2 linked regions of the Tamandua tetradactyla genome follow. The protein of the gene in region 2 binds, or shares a complex with, the protein of the main gene of each other region. Links are inferred from orthologs where the notes say so. Each region holds a gene or a part of one and is shown on either strand. Other genes may lie near its edges.

What was found. Proteins that work in one complex are often made in the same cells at the same time.
Region 1: RRS1 (region 2) and RPF2 share a complex: the UniProt entries of both Homo sapiens proteins name them as parts of the hexameric 5S RNP precursor complex. The link is inferred for Tamandua tetradactyla from reciprocal best matches to the Homo sapiens genes RRS1 and RPF2.

Annotation. Positions count from the first base shown.
Region 1 is NC_135331.1:169,708,571-169,716,197, reverse strand, and holds the start of RPF2 (ribosome production factor 2 homolog), read right to left. Parts: upstream 3,036-7,627; 5' UTR 2,769-3,035; coding exon 2,746-2,768; intron 2,730-2,745; exon of another isoform or gene 2,562-2,729; intron 2,547-2,561; exon of another isoform or gene 2,282-2,546; intron 2,034-2,281; exon of another isoform or gene 1,954-2,033; intron 1,778-1,953; exon of another isoform or gene 1,145-1,777; intron 819-1,144; coding exon 686-818; intron 1-685. UniProt on the Homo sapiens protein: Involved in ribosomal large subunit assembly. May regulate the localization of the 5S RNP/5S ribonucleoprotein particle to the nucleolus.
Region 2 is NC_135332.1:109,969,454-109,975,741, forward strand, and holds RRS1 (ribosome biogenesis regulatory protein homolog), read left to right. Parts: upstream 1-4,007; 5' UTR 4,008-4,134; coding exon 4,135-5,232; 3' UTR 5,233-5,714; downstream 5,715-6,288. UniProt on the Homo sapiens protein: Involved in ribosomal large subunit assembly. May regulate the localization of the 5S RNP/5S ribonucleoprotein particle to the nucleolus.

The DNA of each region.
Region 1 (7,627 bases), on a different chromosome or scaffold from region 2:
TTCCTGCCACTTCTACTAGTATCTAGCCCACTGTCCTTCAGCCATTCCCAATTATTTATAGTTTCCCCAAATGTATTATGTTCTTTTACACTCTCTTTTGCACAACCTTTTTTACCCCTTAGCTTTGGAAGTCTTTCTCTTCTCCATCACTTCTTGCTCCAACTTTTTCAAAATGAAGCCTCAAGTGTCATCTCTGAGAACCTGATACCACAATGTGATATTACTGCCTCCCATCCTATCCCATGCAAGCCTCCAGCACACCACTCAATCCCAATGCTATAATTCTGTACTTTTTTGTCTCCTACACTAAGCTCACTGAAGGGAGGGAATGTGTCTCATCTATTAATTCCCAGCACCTAGAACGAATCATTGGTGTAGATGAATGAACATACATTAATATGTAGTTATTTTGCTTTACAAATTAGTTATGTTTCTAAAGTGTAAATAAACCAAATTCTAATAATTTAAAACAGTTGAAACTTACCAAGAAACTAGTTATTTTAAGGAAAACCAGTAGTCAGTGCCATGACAAGGCAAGTAATCTCTAGTTTAGCTCTACTCTAAGGTTTATAGTTCTTAAGGCCAGGCAAACTTATACAGGTGATTCTCCAGCAGGTTAAGCTAATATGCTAAAATTTCCTAAGATGATTTCTATGCCATTTAAAAAATAAGTACATATACGTACCACATCTCTAAGTACTTGTGTCACTATTGCATTTGCATTTCCTCCTTTAATCAGCATGGCATTTTTAACATTTTCACTGAGTTTTGGTTCTCTCTTCTCAAGGAATCTCTTGGCCCTTTTTGTTTTGGGCTTTCTGTTCAGAAAAATCACAATTCAAAACAACTTAAAACATTTTCCTTATATTTCAAAACTATGACTTGACTGATACGCAAATTATTTTAAATCAACTGAGAAATCACATTAGCATATTTTCCAGTTAGGTTTCCAACATTAAACAAAATCTCACCTTTTAGGAGATACTAGTAAAATATTCAGTTATTAGTTAAATATGTTTATTTTATTAACTTTTAGCTAAAAGAGGAAAGCCTTCATTTAGAATTTCCAAGAGTTATTTTATTACTCCTTTTATCTAAACCTTTTTTAAAACCAAAAAAAAAAATAAAGAACTGGAGTAATTACCGTTATTTTTTCTTTCATCTTTCCATTCTTGAACCAATCAAACTGTACCATGTACTCTAACAGAAAGAACTACACAAAAAACTGCTAATATATCTATGAACAGTTACCAAATGTAGCCCATTAATCAAAGCCACAAGAGGACGGACTGTTTATATTCCTGGTTTAAGGCCATGAGAAAGTCAAACATTGCCACCAAAGGGGAATAATGATGATGACATTTTAATAAAGTCCCTGTATTAAGGCCTAATCCTCCCCACAACCGTATGAGAGAGAAAAGGACTACTGGAGGCAATTGAGGACAAAAAGGTAACTTGCCCAAGGTTACACAGCTTATAAGTAGGTCAATCTTCAAAATGCCAAATTTGAAAATTCATCTAGACCAATCACCTTGGAAACTATGAAGGGGAAACAAATCCATTATTCTGATTTTAAGATATGACAGCAAGAGGGATACATTTTGTACATTTCTTGCTTTTCCAGGTTTTCTGCATTCACTGAAAGAATTACTCCTTTTAAATAAATAGAACCCCTCCCCCCAGTCCTATGGGCATTTCAGAAAGAAAAATAAAAATAGAACACAAACACACACACTTTAGTTTCCCACACAGACTTAAAAAGCTTTCCCCCAGATAAATGTCAAGCATAAAGTTTCTTCTCATTTATCGATAAAGATGCATTACAATCAAATCAAGAAATACTTAGTGTGTCTATATGGCAACAAAAGTGCTATATGCTTTATATTCCATATAGTTTGTTACTTCTCGTTAACAAGCAATGAATGCAAATAGCACTTTAGAAGTTTTACTAACTGTTCATCCTCCAATTAGGCTGTGAATTGTCCTTACTCATCTTTGTAGTTCCAACACCTAAAGGAATATGAAGCAGGTGCAGAAAATCCCTGAATTAATGACTAAAAGAAGAAAACTGTCATTTTCATTACATTTTAACCCAGGTAAATCCCAAGAAGAAAACCATAGCAAATAACCGCAGGACGATTTAGGAGAACAATAAATAGTTTTTGAACGAATCAAAAACAAACAACTCTTTTAAGTATAACCCAGAGAAGTACTAAAGGTTGAGAGGAAAAGTAAAAGTTAATGAGTATGTTCTACGTGCTGTGACAAAGACTTTACACACATTCTCTTCTCCAATTCTCACAGCTCTACGAATATGATGATGGCTACTTTTACAGAGGAAACCGAGGCTTAGATTAGAGAGTCCAACCAAAGTCGCAAAGGTTTGAGCGGACGCGCCGGGACTGAAACCCAGAACTGTACGAATCCGAAGCCTGTGCACTTAACCCTTTACTGTACCACCTCCTTCACCCTTCTTCGGAAGCCAGACAGCTTTAATTTGTTGGGATGGAAGCAACGCTTCCGTCCCACCTCCTTCCCGCGGCTCCCATTTGTGTGCTTACACACTGTTTCCCGGCCGCCGGCACCGAAGACCCAAGCTGATGGGCCCCCACTGCGGTCCGACTGGCAAACAGAGGGAGGAAGCAGAGCGGTAATCAAAAGAAGGAGACAAAAGCTATAACATTCCTTCCCGTCACAAAATCCCCTCTCCCCAGCGTTCCCAGGATGCGACCCCAGTGAACTTACATCACTCGGTCCAAAGCATCCATCACCACAGCAACCCGAAAAGGCGAACCCACGTGCACCGCTCTGTTCTACGAGCTATGGCTTTGCGCGGAACCGGAAATTGTGCGTGACGCCACTTCCTTGATCCGCCTGGGCGCGGGTCGGACACAGACTGGTGGTCGTTTTCGGTTGGCCCCTGATTGTTGCCTTGGTTACCGGTTTTTGATTTCTCTTTCCCGGGGATTCTAGGTGCGAAGTAATACTAAGAAACGTCTCCTGTAGCTGTTTGACGTACTAGTCTGTATGTATATTTGGTGTCAGGTATGCAGGGGTCAGGTATTAGTCTTCAGGGAATCTCCTAGGATGCCAATGCAAGGTTGTTAACACAGTATCTAGTCATTAAATATATTTTTTAACATGAAATGCCCACTATTAATTAAACTATGAGGTAAGTGAGGGCAGAAGTCTGTTACTGCCATAGTGGCTGGCACAAGAACGTAATCAGAAAATACTGATTGTGATTTTTTCCAATTTTTAATTGAAATATAATTCATATGCCATAAAATTCAGTCTTTAAAAATGTGCAGCTCATTGGTTTTTACTAAATTCGTTGAGCTGTGCAACCTTCACCACTATGTAATTCCAGAACATTTTCATCACCCCAAAACGAATCCCCATATCAGTAGCAGTCATTCCCATTTTCCCCTTCTGCCAGCCTGTGGCAACCAACAATCTATGCGCTGTTCCTATGGATTTGCCTATTCTAGACATGTAATATAAATACATTCATAAAATGTGTGACCATATGAGTTTGCTTCTCTCACTTAGCATATTTTCAAGTTTCATACATGTTATAGCATGTTCAATATTTCATGTCTTTAATTAGGGCTAAGTAATATTCCATATTTTGTTTATGAAATAATAAATAATTGTTTATTAATTATCATTGATTATAATTACTAAATCTTATATATTAATATATAATTATTGTTATATTAATATAAATAATAAATAAAATGATGTGCCATATTTTATTTATCCATCAGCTGATGGAGATTTGGGTTGTTTCCACTTTTTGGCTATTATTAATAGTGCTGCTTTGAACACTTGTGTACAAGTTTTTGCATGCAAAATGTTTTCATTTCTCCAGGGGTACAACTGCTGAGTCATATGGTAATTCTATGTTTACCATTTTGAGGAACAGCAAAACAGATTTTCAAAGTGGCTATACTTGTACCATTTTACACTCCCACCAGAAATATAAAAGGGTTTGTTAGTTTCCTAATGCTGATGTAATAAATTACTGCAAACTTAATGGCTTTAAAAAAAAAAAACAAATGTATTCTCTTACAACTCTGAAAGTTAGAAATCTGAATTAAGTCTTATGGGTCTAAAATTAACATGTCAGAAAGGCTGCATTCCTCCTGGAGTCTCCAGTGGGAATCCATTTCCTTGCCTTTACCGCTTTTGAAAAGTTGCTCGCATTCCTTGGCTCATGGTCTCTTTCTACATCTTAAAACACGTTATTCAAATCTCACATTTCCGTTTTCTAATACTCCTTTTTTTAAAAAATATTTTTATTGAAAAATCTTTATACACATACAGACTATACATGGTGTAATGTTCACCTTAAAAGGATCTTTGTGATGATACTGAGTCTTACTCAATAATCCAGGAAAAGATTCCTATCTCAAGACTCTTAATTTAATCAGATATGCAGAGTGCTTTTGGCTTTGTAAAGTAACATATTCACAGATTCTGAGGATTAAGACGGACAGTTTTTGAGGAAGAATTCTGTCTGGTCACAGGTTCCAATTTCTCCACATCCTCAATAACACTTATTATTATCCATCGTTTTATTATAGCCATTCTAGTGAATATGAAATGGTATCTCATTATGGTTTTCATCTGCATTTTTCTTACAGTAAATAATGTTAAGCATCTTTTTGTGGGCTGGTTGACCTGTATCTTCTGTGGAAAGATGACAATTCAAATTCTTCACCCATTTCTTTTTTATATCTTATTGAGATATATTCACATACCATATTTTCACCAATTTTTAGATTTGGTTATTTGTCTTATTGTTGAGTTCTAATAGTTCTTTATTCTAGATACAAGTCCCTTTGCAAATAGTTTTTTCTCATTCTGTGGGTTATTTCATTTTGATAGTATGCTTTGAGCACAAAAGTTTTCAATTCTGATCAAGCCCAATTTAGCCATCATTTCTTTTATTGCTTGTGCTTTGATGTCATATCTAAGAAATCATTCCGTAAACCAAGGTCACAAAGATTATTATCTTTTATTCTAAGAATTTCTTAGTTTTATCACTTACATTTAGGTCTGATGCATTTTGGATTTCATTCTTTTGCATGTGGCTTCTAGTTACCATATTGCCATGTTTTAGTCAGGGTTCTCTAGGGAAACAGAACCAACAGGAGATATACATAAATAGTATGATATTTTATAAAAGTGTCTCACCCAACTATGGGGATGCACAAGTCCGAAGTCCATAGGGCAGGCTGCAAACTGGCACTCTGATGAAGGTTTGCAATGAATTCTCCAGGAGAGGCTGGCTGGCTGAAGTAGAAACAAAATTTCTCTCTTCTGACTACTGAAGTCATCACCTCTCCCTTAAAAGCCTTCAACTGATTGGATTAAACTTCTCTCATTGTGGAAGACACTCCCCTTAGTTGACAGTAGATGTAATCAGCCATAGATACAATCAACTGACTGATGATTTAAGTCCAAAAAATGCCCTCACAGTAATGGTTAGGCCAATGCTTGCTTGGCCAGACAACTGGGCACCATCACCTGGCCAAGTTGACACATGAACCTAACCATCACAGTCCACCCCTTGTCAACCTGGCAGCTACAGACATCAACTTAACCCATACTTTAAATAGAAAACAATAAAAGACATATTTTCCACCTCGCAATGCTCAATTGTCCTGTGTACAACCAGAAACATACTAAATCTCTCCAGAATAGGGTGCAACCTTGAGTAAAATTCCCTCTGAAATTTGACATCCTATAACTTAACCACTGTAACGTGAACAACTTTTGTCATGTAAAGGGAATAAGAGAAGGAAAACAAAGATATTTGCTTTATGTACAAATACACACACACAAAAAAAAGAAAGACTATTCTTTCCTTCACTGATTTGTTCTGGCACCCTTGTCAAATATCAATTGACTGTAAGTATGAAGTTTTATTTTTGGACTCTCAATTCTATTCCATTGATCTATATGTTATCCTTATGCCCATACCACACCATCTTGATTAATGTAGCTTTGTAGAAAATTTTGAAATCAGGATATATGAGTCCTTCAACTTTATTCTTATTTTTCAAGATTGTTTTGGCTGTTTTGGATCTCTTGGGTTTCCATGTGAATTTTAGTTTAAGTGTCTCAATATCTGCAACAAAATAGGGATTTTGATAGGGATTGAATCTGTAAAATTGCTTTGGGTAGTAGTGCCATCTTAATGATAGTAAGTCAGTATGAACAAAGAATGGCTTTCCATTTATTTAAATCTTCTTTAATTTCTTTCAGTGATGTTTTGTGGCATCAGTGCATAATTCTTGCATTCTTGTGAAATTTATTTCTAAGTATTTTATTCTTTTTTGGTGCTAATGTAAATGGAATTGTTATCCAAATGGAACTGTTATCCAATTTGTTCATTGCTACTATATGGAAATATAATTTATATTTATTTATTGATCTTGTATCCTGCAACCTTGCTGAACTGGTTTATTAGCTTTTTAATAACTGTATGATCTCACTTATATGAAATACCTATATAAGCAAATTTCATAGAGACAGATAGTGGATTATATCTATTAATTTTTTTTCACTGTCTTCAAGCTCTGCTGAATTCTAGAGCCAGGCTTGTTCAGTAGCGTTGTGGAGCGTCTCTTAGACCAGTGTCGCCTCCGGAAGTCTTGCTTACCATTTCCAGAATGTCCAACTTGCACTCTCAGAGGAAGGGTGCATTCCCAGGAAGAGTGAGAGAGATTTGGGACCCAAGGTGATGATATCAGATACACTGAACTTGTTTCTGTGCCCTCATTCTGGTTCTAGAGAAATAAAATGGTTGCTAGTGAGGTTGGTGATACTTTACGTTGCTTCTATACTTTGAACTTTCTCATCTCAGAGATTTTGTCCCTGGCCTTGTCTTTGTTCTGAGATCTCATCAGGTTATATTTTCTCTGGACATGAAATCTAGATCTTCAGTTTTGAAACCAAATTTAGGCTCTTGACTCTGGAACCCCAATTTCTTTTGCAAATCTTTCTCTGTAATCAGTTCCATGATAAGGGTTGTCTTACATACCCTGATGAGAGTACACAATTGGGAAGAAGTATAGGAAATATGGCACCATCTGGCTTTTATATCTTGAATTGTTGCTGGGTTATCTTGCCTGTGGTTTTAGCTTGATTCTAAGGCCTGATCAGGCTCTGTTCTTCCCTGGAATAAATGTCTAGCTCTCCAAATATGAAACCAAATCTGGATTCTAGACTCTTCAGTGTTAATTTCTAAAGATATTTTTGTTTGATGGCATAATCTGGGTAAGGTTTTTGGTTGAATATGCCAATGAGGATTTTCAACAGATCCACTGTGAATTTGGTGTGACTGCGCCTTCAATGTGTAAGTATCACTTGTCTGGGTAGTTGTCCAAGGCCATGTTGGAAAGGATTCCTAGTGTTTAAACATGTGACTAGGAGTCTAATTTATTTGCTTTTATAGTATTTTTAATGTATGTCTGTATTCCTTAGGATCCTGTCCTCTGCAAATAGAGTTTTATTTTTTCCTTTCCAATTTGTATTCCTTTTTTTTCTTCTTGCCTAACTGCTTTAGCTAGAACCTTCAATATAATGTTAAATAGAAAACATGAGAATATAAGAG
Region 2 (6,288 bases):
GCCATTTTTTTGCTATTTTATCAAATTACTGGCACAATGAATTTCATAGACAAAAATACTCAAAATAACTATGTTCTCAGCAGAATTAAAGAATGGTTGAGTCAATCCCCTGACAATTTCCGCTGCCAAAAAGAGGCAACTGAGAAACGACTGGAAAGCAAATCTAAGATAATGCAGTATCAAAAAAATGAAGAAAGAAATTTCATACAAAAATTTTACTGACCAAAGTAACTGTGTTTTGAGGGAGCATGAAAGGAATTACTTGCCCTCGATCTTGAACCTTCTTGTCCCTGGGGAGGAAGAAGCATCCCACAGGTTCACTTTTGTCAATGAAAAATTTCTCAATAGTTGCTACAAGAATACAATGCTGCTTTTTTTATTCTGTGTCTCATTTTTACCTTTCTTAATGCTCTGGAAAGACAGGTAAGATGGGAAAGAAAATTGGGGAAGAAATATTTGGACAAGCATAAGGAAAAATATCAGGACACACAAGCAAAGAGTTGTTGGGTCTGATCATGAACAGCCTTGCCAAGTCCAAGAACAAGCATTGTGTGTTAGCTAGACAAGGGAGGAGAAAGGTGGTTTGGTCAGATCTGTGGAACAAATCTTAAGGACTGACCTGAAGAGAGAATGGAGACAAGAAACCTGTTAGGGTGTTCCTGGGATACTCCTCAGGTTCCTGGCAGGGTCATAAATTGCCACCAAACTGGGTAATTTAAGACATACTAGCAAAGGAAATATTTATAAAGACAGGCGCAAGGTTTAAGGAGACCCACAAAGAGTAATCCTTAAAGGGCAGAGAGATATAAGCAATCCTAGGCTGGCAAGAAGGCTGCCCAAAGAAAGCTGTGACCTTTTAGAGGCACCAGCCACCCCAAGGCAATCTGCAGAGGGCTGGGGGCATTTGTACCCTGACCTCACTCTCTTCACATCCTCTGATGCTTTGCAAAGCTTCCCACTGGCCAAACCCAGTGGAAGTCAGGGGTACAGAACAGAGTAGAGACAGGATCTGGAGAAACAAAGGAAGAGATCCAGTCCAATCCTGATGGGGGGGATGGAATACAGAGACAAATTCAGCTGGACTTTTAGAATGATTGGATTTGGAAATGGAAAAAGAAAAGTCAAGAATGACTTTATAGTTTCAAGTCCCAGTTACTAGACTGGAATGATGATAACATCAGTTGAGCCTGTTTTTATTAACACCGGATTTCTCATCGCCTGACACAGTGCTCCAGGCTTCAAGGAACTTCAACAAACATTTGTTGAAAAAAGAGTGGGTGGGTGGATGGATGGATGAATGGAATGAAAGAAGAAATAAATTTGAGGGAAGATGATATATTATTTAGTTTTAGACACAGTATGGTGGAAGAGCCGAGTGGACGGAAAGGATCAAATCTGTACTACTGAGAACCATCTGCACAAAAGCAGCAGCTGACATCATGCAAGTGGATGAAATGGCACACAGAGCAGGTATTAAGAGAAAAGAAGTGAGATCTGAGGACCAGATTTGGGATCTGTGGGCCAAAAGAAGAAAAAGAAAACAAAGAGAAAAGACAGCATGTACAGCCATTTGCCAGACTGTTTAAACATATCCACATGCCTGCACATACCTGGCAGGCTTTCTTTTTTCTTGACACTGCACAGTCTTGCCTAACATGAGAATGATACAAATGCCTGGGGTCCATCACTTACCCACTTGGCTCAATTTTATTTTATTTTTCATTCAAACCCCATTCTTCACTACTTTTGCTTACCCTGAATCTAACACAGCCAACAGGAATACCTTTTTAATTTAGAGAAATCTGTAACGTTTTTTTCTTTCAAGCAATCATGTATTGAGTACCTATTATGTATCCAGTACTAAGTTCAGCAAAGTGAAAGTAAATATCAGTCTCCAACCAACAAGGAAATTAAAATACTCTCGGACTGTGAAAAACCAATAAACATAAAACAATTAAAGAACAATTAAGTGTTCATCTGTATAATCCTAACCAAATAACATTTATCCAGTGAGGATTCACACTATTCAATACCTGTCCACCTCCTTCTTAATCCAGGAGATTGATGGAGGAGCTAAAACCTACATAGGTGCACAATCTATTGGAAGCTCAATCACACTATTTTGTAAAATTCTCATTACCTGTGTTCTTTCCTGGTGTTCCAGAAGGTCTCAACCCACCTTGTATCTAGTGTCTGTTACATGGTAGCTGTTCAGTTAGATGTTTGCTAACTAAATGAATGAATCATAAACCAAGCCAGCACCAGGAGTTGTATCAACATTCCAACCTTCTTCTCTGGCAAACCACAAAAGCTTTTAGATTCAAGGCAGTTATCTAATATGGCCTTTGGCCTAACCTTGGCCTCCTAAGGTGACTGGTAGTAAAGACTTAGTGATGAGCACTAAGGCACAGGTTCAGAAAAACCCCAGCAACTACTACAATTATTTTAGATTAGAGGAAGAAAGGAGGGTCTAATACAATGTCTGGTGCATGAAATGTGCTCCATAAATGTTTGGTAAATCAGTGAACCAAGAACAGCTGAAGATAGTGAGCCTGAGACTAACTTGAGTACACAATCAGAATTAGGGTGCAGGCAAACTGCAGAGCCTGGAGCTCTTTTGTTCCAAGACAGGAGAGGATATGGCCCCAGGCTATAGGTCTATCTCTTAAACTTTTTATATTAATTTCTACTGCCTAATCTTCCAGCATAACCCCTACTTCATTATTTCCAATCCCCTGATCAAGGAAAACAAAACCTGTAAACCCCACAATCAGCAATGCCTCCTAAACGTGAATGTACATACTGATCACCTGGAGAGCTTGTTAAACCGAAGGTTCTGATTCTGTACATCTGGGGCAGGCCTGCGAGTCTGCCTCTCAAAGCTCCCAGGTGAAGCTATGCTGCTGATGAGCAGACCAGAGTATCAAGAGCCTGGTAGACACCGCAGTCTTAACGCTGGGTTAAGACACCTCTTGCCCCCACATTTCGTAGGTACATGACCTCGCACAAGTCATTTCACCTGAGTTTCATCACTGGCATATGATTAATACCAACAAGAGCTAACATGAGTGCTTACTAAGTACCAGAACTGTTTCCTATTTATCAACCTATTTGACTCCTCTAAATAACCTGTGCAAGGTAGGTACAGTAAATGGTAAACCCACATCTGACTTAAGCAGTCTGACTCAAGAACCTGGTGTCTTCAATTTAGCTGTTATGAAAGTGAAAGAGCTGTTATGAACATAATAGAGTAACTGGTATTAATTTAACTAACAGTTACTGAGCACTCTTTCGTCCCAGGCCCTATTCTAACTCCCCCTTGGGGTATATTAACGCCCTCATCTTTACAAAAGCCCCAAGCCATAGGTACTATTATTTTCTACATTTTGTATATTTTTAAACAGGCCCAGGAAAGTTAAATTGCCTAAGATTAAAATGTCCTTAGATGGCTCAGTCGGGATAAGCGCACAAGTAATCTAATTGCAGTGCCCGACGCTCGTCTTGCCCCGGACCAAGAGAGATCATGATTTCAGGCCTCTGAAGCACCAACACTCGCTCGCTCCCAAACCAAACAGATCCTTCTCCAGCACTCAACTTCACGTTTGTCTGGGACATGCCTTTCCCCGCCCACACATTAGGTCCCACCATTAGGGCCGTGGTGAAATCATTTCTGTAGCCCAACTAGGGATGCTTCACTAAACAACTTCACAAGGCATGTACAGTGAATTTGAAACACAGGGGCTCCGGAAACCCCCTAAAGCTGCGACCCCAATAATTCGTCCCTGGAACTGCCCCGCCTCCTGGCCCCGCTGCATTCTGGGAACCTCGACCTCAATCAGGCCCTGGAACTTGTAGTCTGGGCTCTTCGCGCTAGCTCCGCCTACATCCGGGTGCACGCCCGAGGTAGGGGGGGGGCTTCTAAACCCACAGGCTTTCCAACACCGCCCCCTGCCGGCCTATGGAGAAAAGGTAATGTAGACAGAGAGTCGGTTCCGGAGGCTCCGGAAGTGAATCATTCTCTTCCGGATCGAGGGTCTGAGCGTCAGCACGTGGCTTCGTTACCCGGCTTAGAACTGACACTGCCGGAAAAGTAACTTGAACTGTAGTTCTGAGCACGTTAAACGAGCCCGAGCTATGGACGGTCAAAGCGTGGAGGAGCTGCTGGCAAAGGCGGAACGGGATGAGGCAGAGAAACTGCAGCGCATCACGGTGCACAAGGAACTGGAGCTGGAGTTCGATCTGGGTAACCTGCTGGCCTCCGACCGGAACCCTCCTACGTGTCTGCGGCGCGTGGGACCCACGCTGGAGGCCGAACTACGGGCCCTAGCGCGAGACAACACTCAGCTGCTCATCAACCAGCTGTGGCAGCTGCCCACGGAGCGCGTGGAGGAAGCTGTGGTGGCACGGCTGCCCGATCCTACCACCCGCCTGCCGCGCGAGAAGCCGGTGCCCCGGCCGCGGCCGCTTACACGCTGGCAGCAGTTCGCGCGCCTCAAGGGCATCCGCCCCAAGAAGAAGACAAATCTGGTGTGGGACGAGGTGAGCGGCCAGTGGCGGCGTCGCTGGGGTTACCAGCGCGCCCGCGACGACACCAAGGAGTGGCTGATCGAGGTGCCCGGCGGTGCCGACCCTTTGGAGGATCAGTTCGCCAAGCGGATTCAGGCCAAAAAGGAACGGGTGGCCAAGAACGAGCTGAATCGGCTGCGTAACCTGGCCCGCGCGCACAAGACGCAACTGCCCAGCGCGGCCGGCTTGCACCCTACTGGACATCAGAGCAAGGAGGAGCTGGGTCGCGCCATGCAGGTGGCCAAGGTCTCAACCGCCTCTGTGGGGCGCTTCCAGGAGCGCCTACCCAAGGAGAAGGCGCCCCGGGGCTCCGGTAAGAAGAGAAAGTTTCAACCCCTCTTTGGGGACTTTGCAGCCGAGAAGAAAAACCAGTTAGAGCTATTGCGAGTCATGAACAGCAAGAAGCCTCAGCTGGACGTAACAAGGGCCACCAATAAGCAAATGAGGGAGGAGGACCAGGAGGAAGCCGCCAAAAGGAGAAAAATGAACCAAAAGGGCAAGAGAAAGGGGGGCCGACAGGGTCCTGGGGGCAAGAGGAAAGGGGGCCCGCCCAGCCAGGGAGGGAAGAGGAAAGGGGGCTTGGGGGGCAAGATGCATTCCGGGCCGCCTGGCTTGGGTGGTAAGAGAAAAGGGGGGCAGCACCAAGGAGGAAAGAGGAGGAAATAATAGAGGCACCCTCGGACTTGCTCTGTAAACCGGAAAACACATACTAAATTACTAAATGTTAAATTCTAGATAGAGCAGGGGGTATAGAAGAAGGTGGCCACTATCTTCACCGAGCTTGGGGTTGAAGGGACAGGACTGACCTCACCTCAAGAAAGTAAGTGTTGGACTCTACAAATTGTTTTTCCCACAACCGAGACTTTTTAGCTGGAGATGAAAAATTAGGGGAAGAACTTGATGGAAACCAGGAACGAGTTTCTGTTTTTAAATAGCCACCTTTTTTCTTTTTGACTTTGAATATGGGTGAGGGAGAGTTGGTCATATTTCAGAGACTCACAATGAATTAATTTATACATTTTTGCATTATTTTTGTAACAAATTTGTGTGTTTACCAAAGCAGGGGAGAACAGGAAAGATTACATTTTCACAACTGTACTTACAGCTAACTATTGAAAAGATTATTTAATAAAAGTGCTTATAACTTTGCAATTATTGGTAGAAATCTTAAGTGAAGTCCAGTGACATGGATACCAGGTACAGAGTGTTTTATTTACTTTCTAAAAGATATAAAGCAGCTAAATTATCATGGTTTCAGAGAAACCACTTTAGTTAGAAAAACTCACTTTTGGTATCAGATGATATTTGAAGATGTAATATAACGCTATTTCAAATGTACATTTCATGCTTTTCAACACGGGTTAATTTGATGTAAATGATAAACTTGGGTCTCACTAAATAATCATGGTAATTCTCATTGATGCAGAAAATATTTAAATTTGTTTCAGCATTTATGTTCCCTCACCCCCCCCCCCCCAAACTTGACTCTCAGTAAGATCTGTTTTGGAAAGGAAGAGACCCACAAAATCCTTACTTGGACCGTTAATATCTTCTGGATCAAAGCCTGAGCTGATTTTGTTCAAAAGTTAAATGTTTATGGCTGTCCTAGGGCTCTTTCCTGCCCATCAGTCTCTTCCTAATCTCGTCTGTTAAAAATATCTCCTGAAAAGGGTTCGTGATAGATGTAGAATTTAGAGAGCCTGTCCTGCTGGAGAGTTGAAA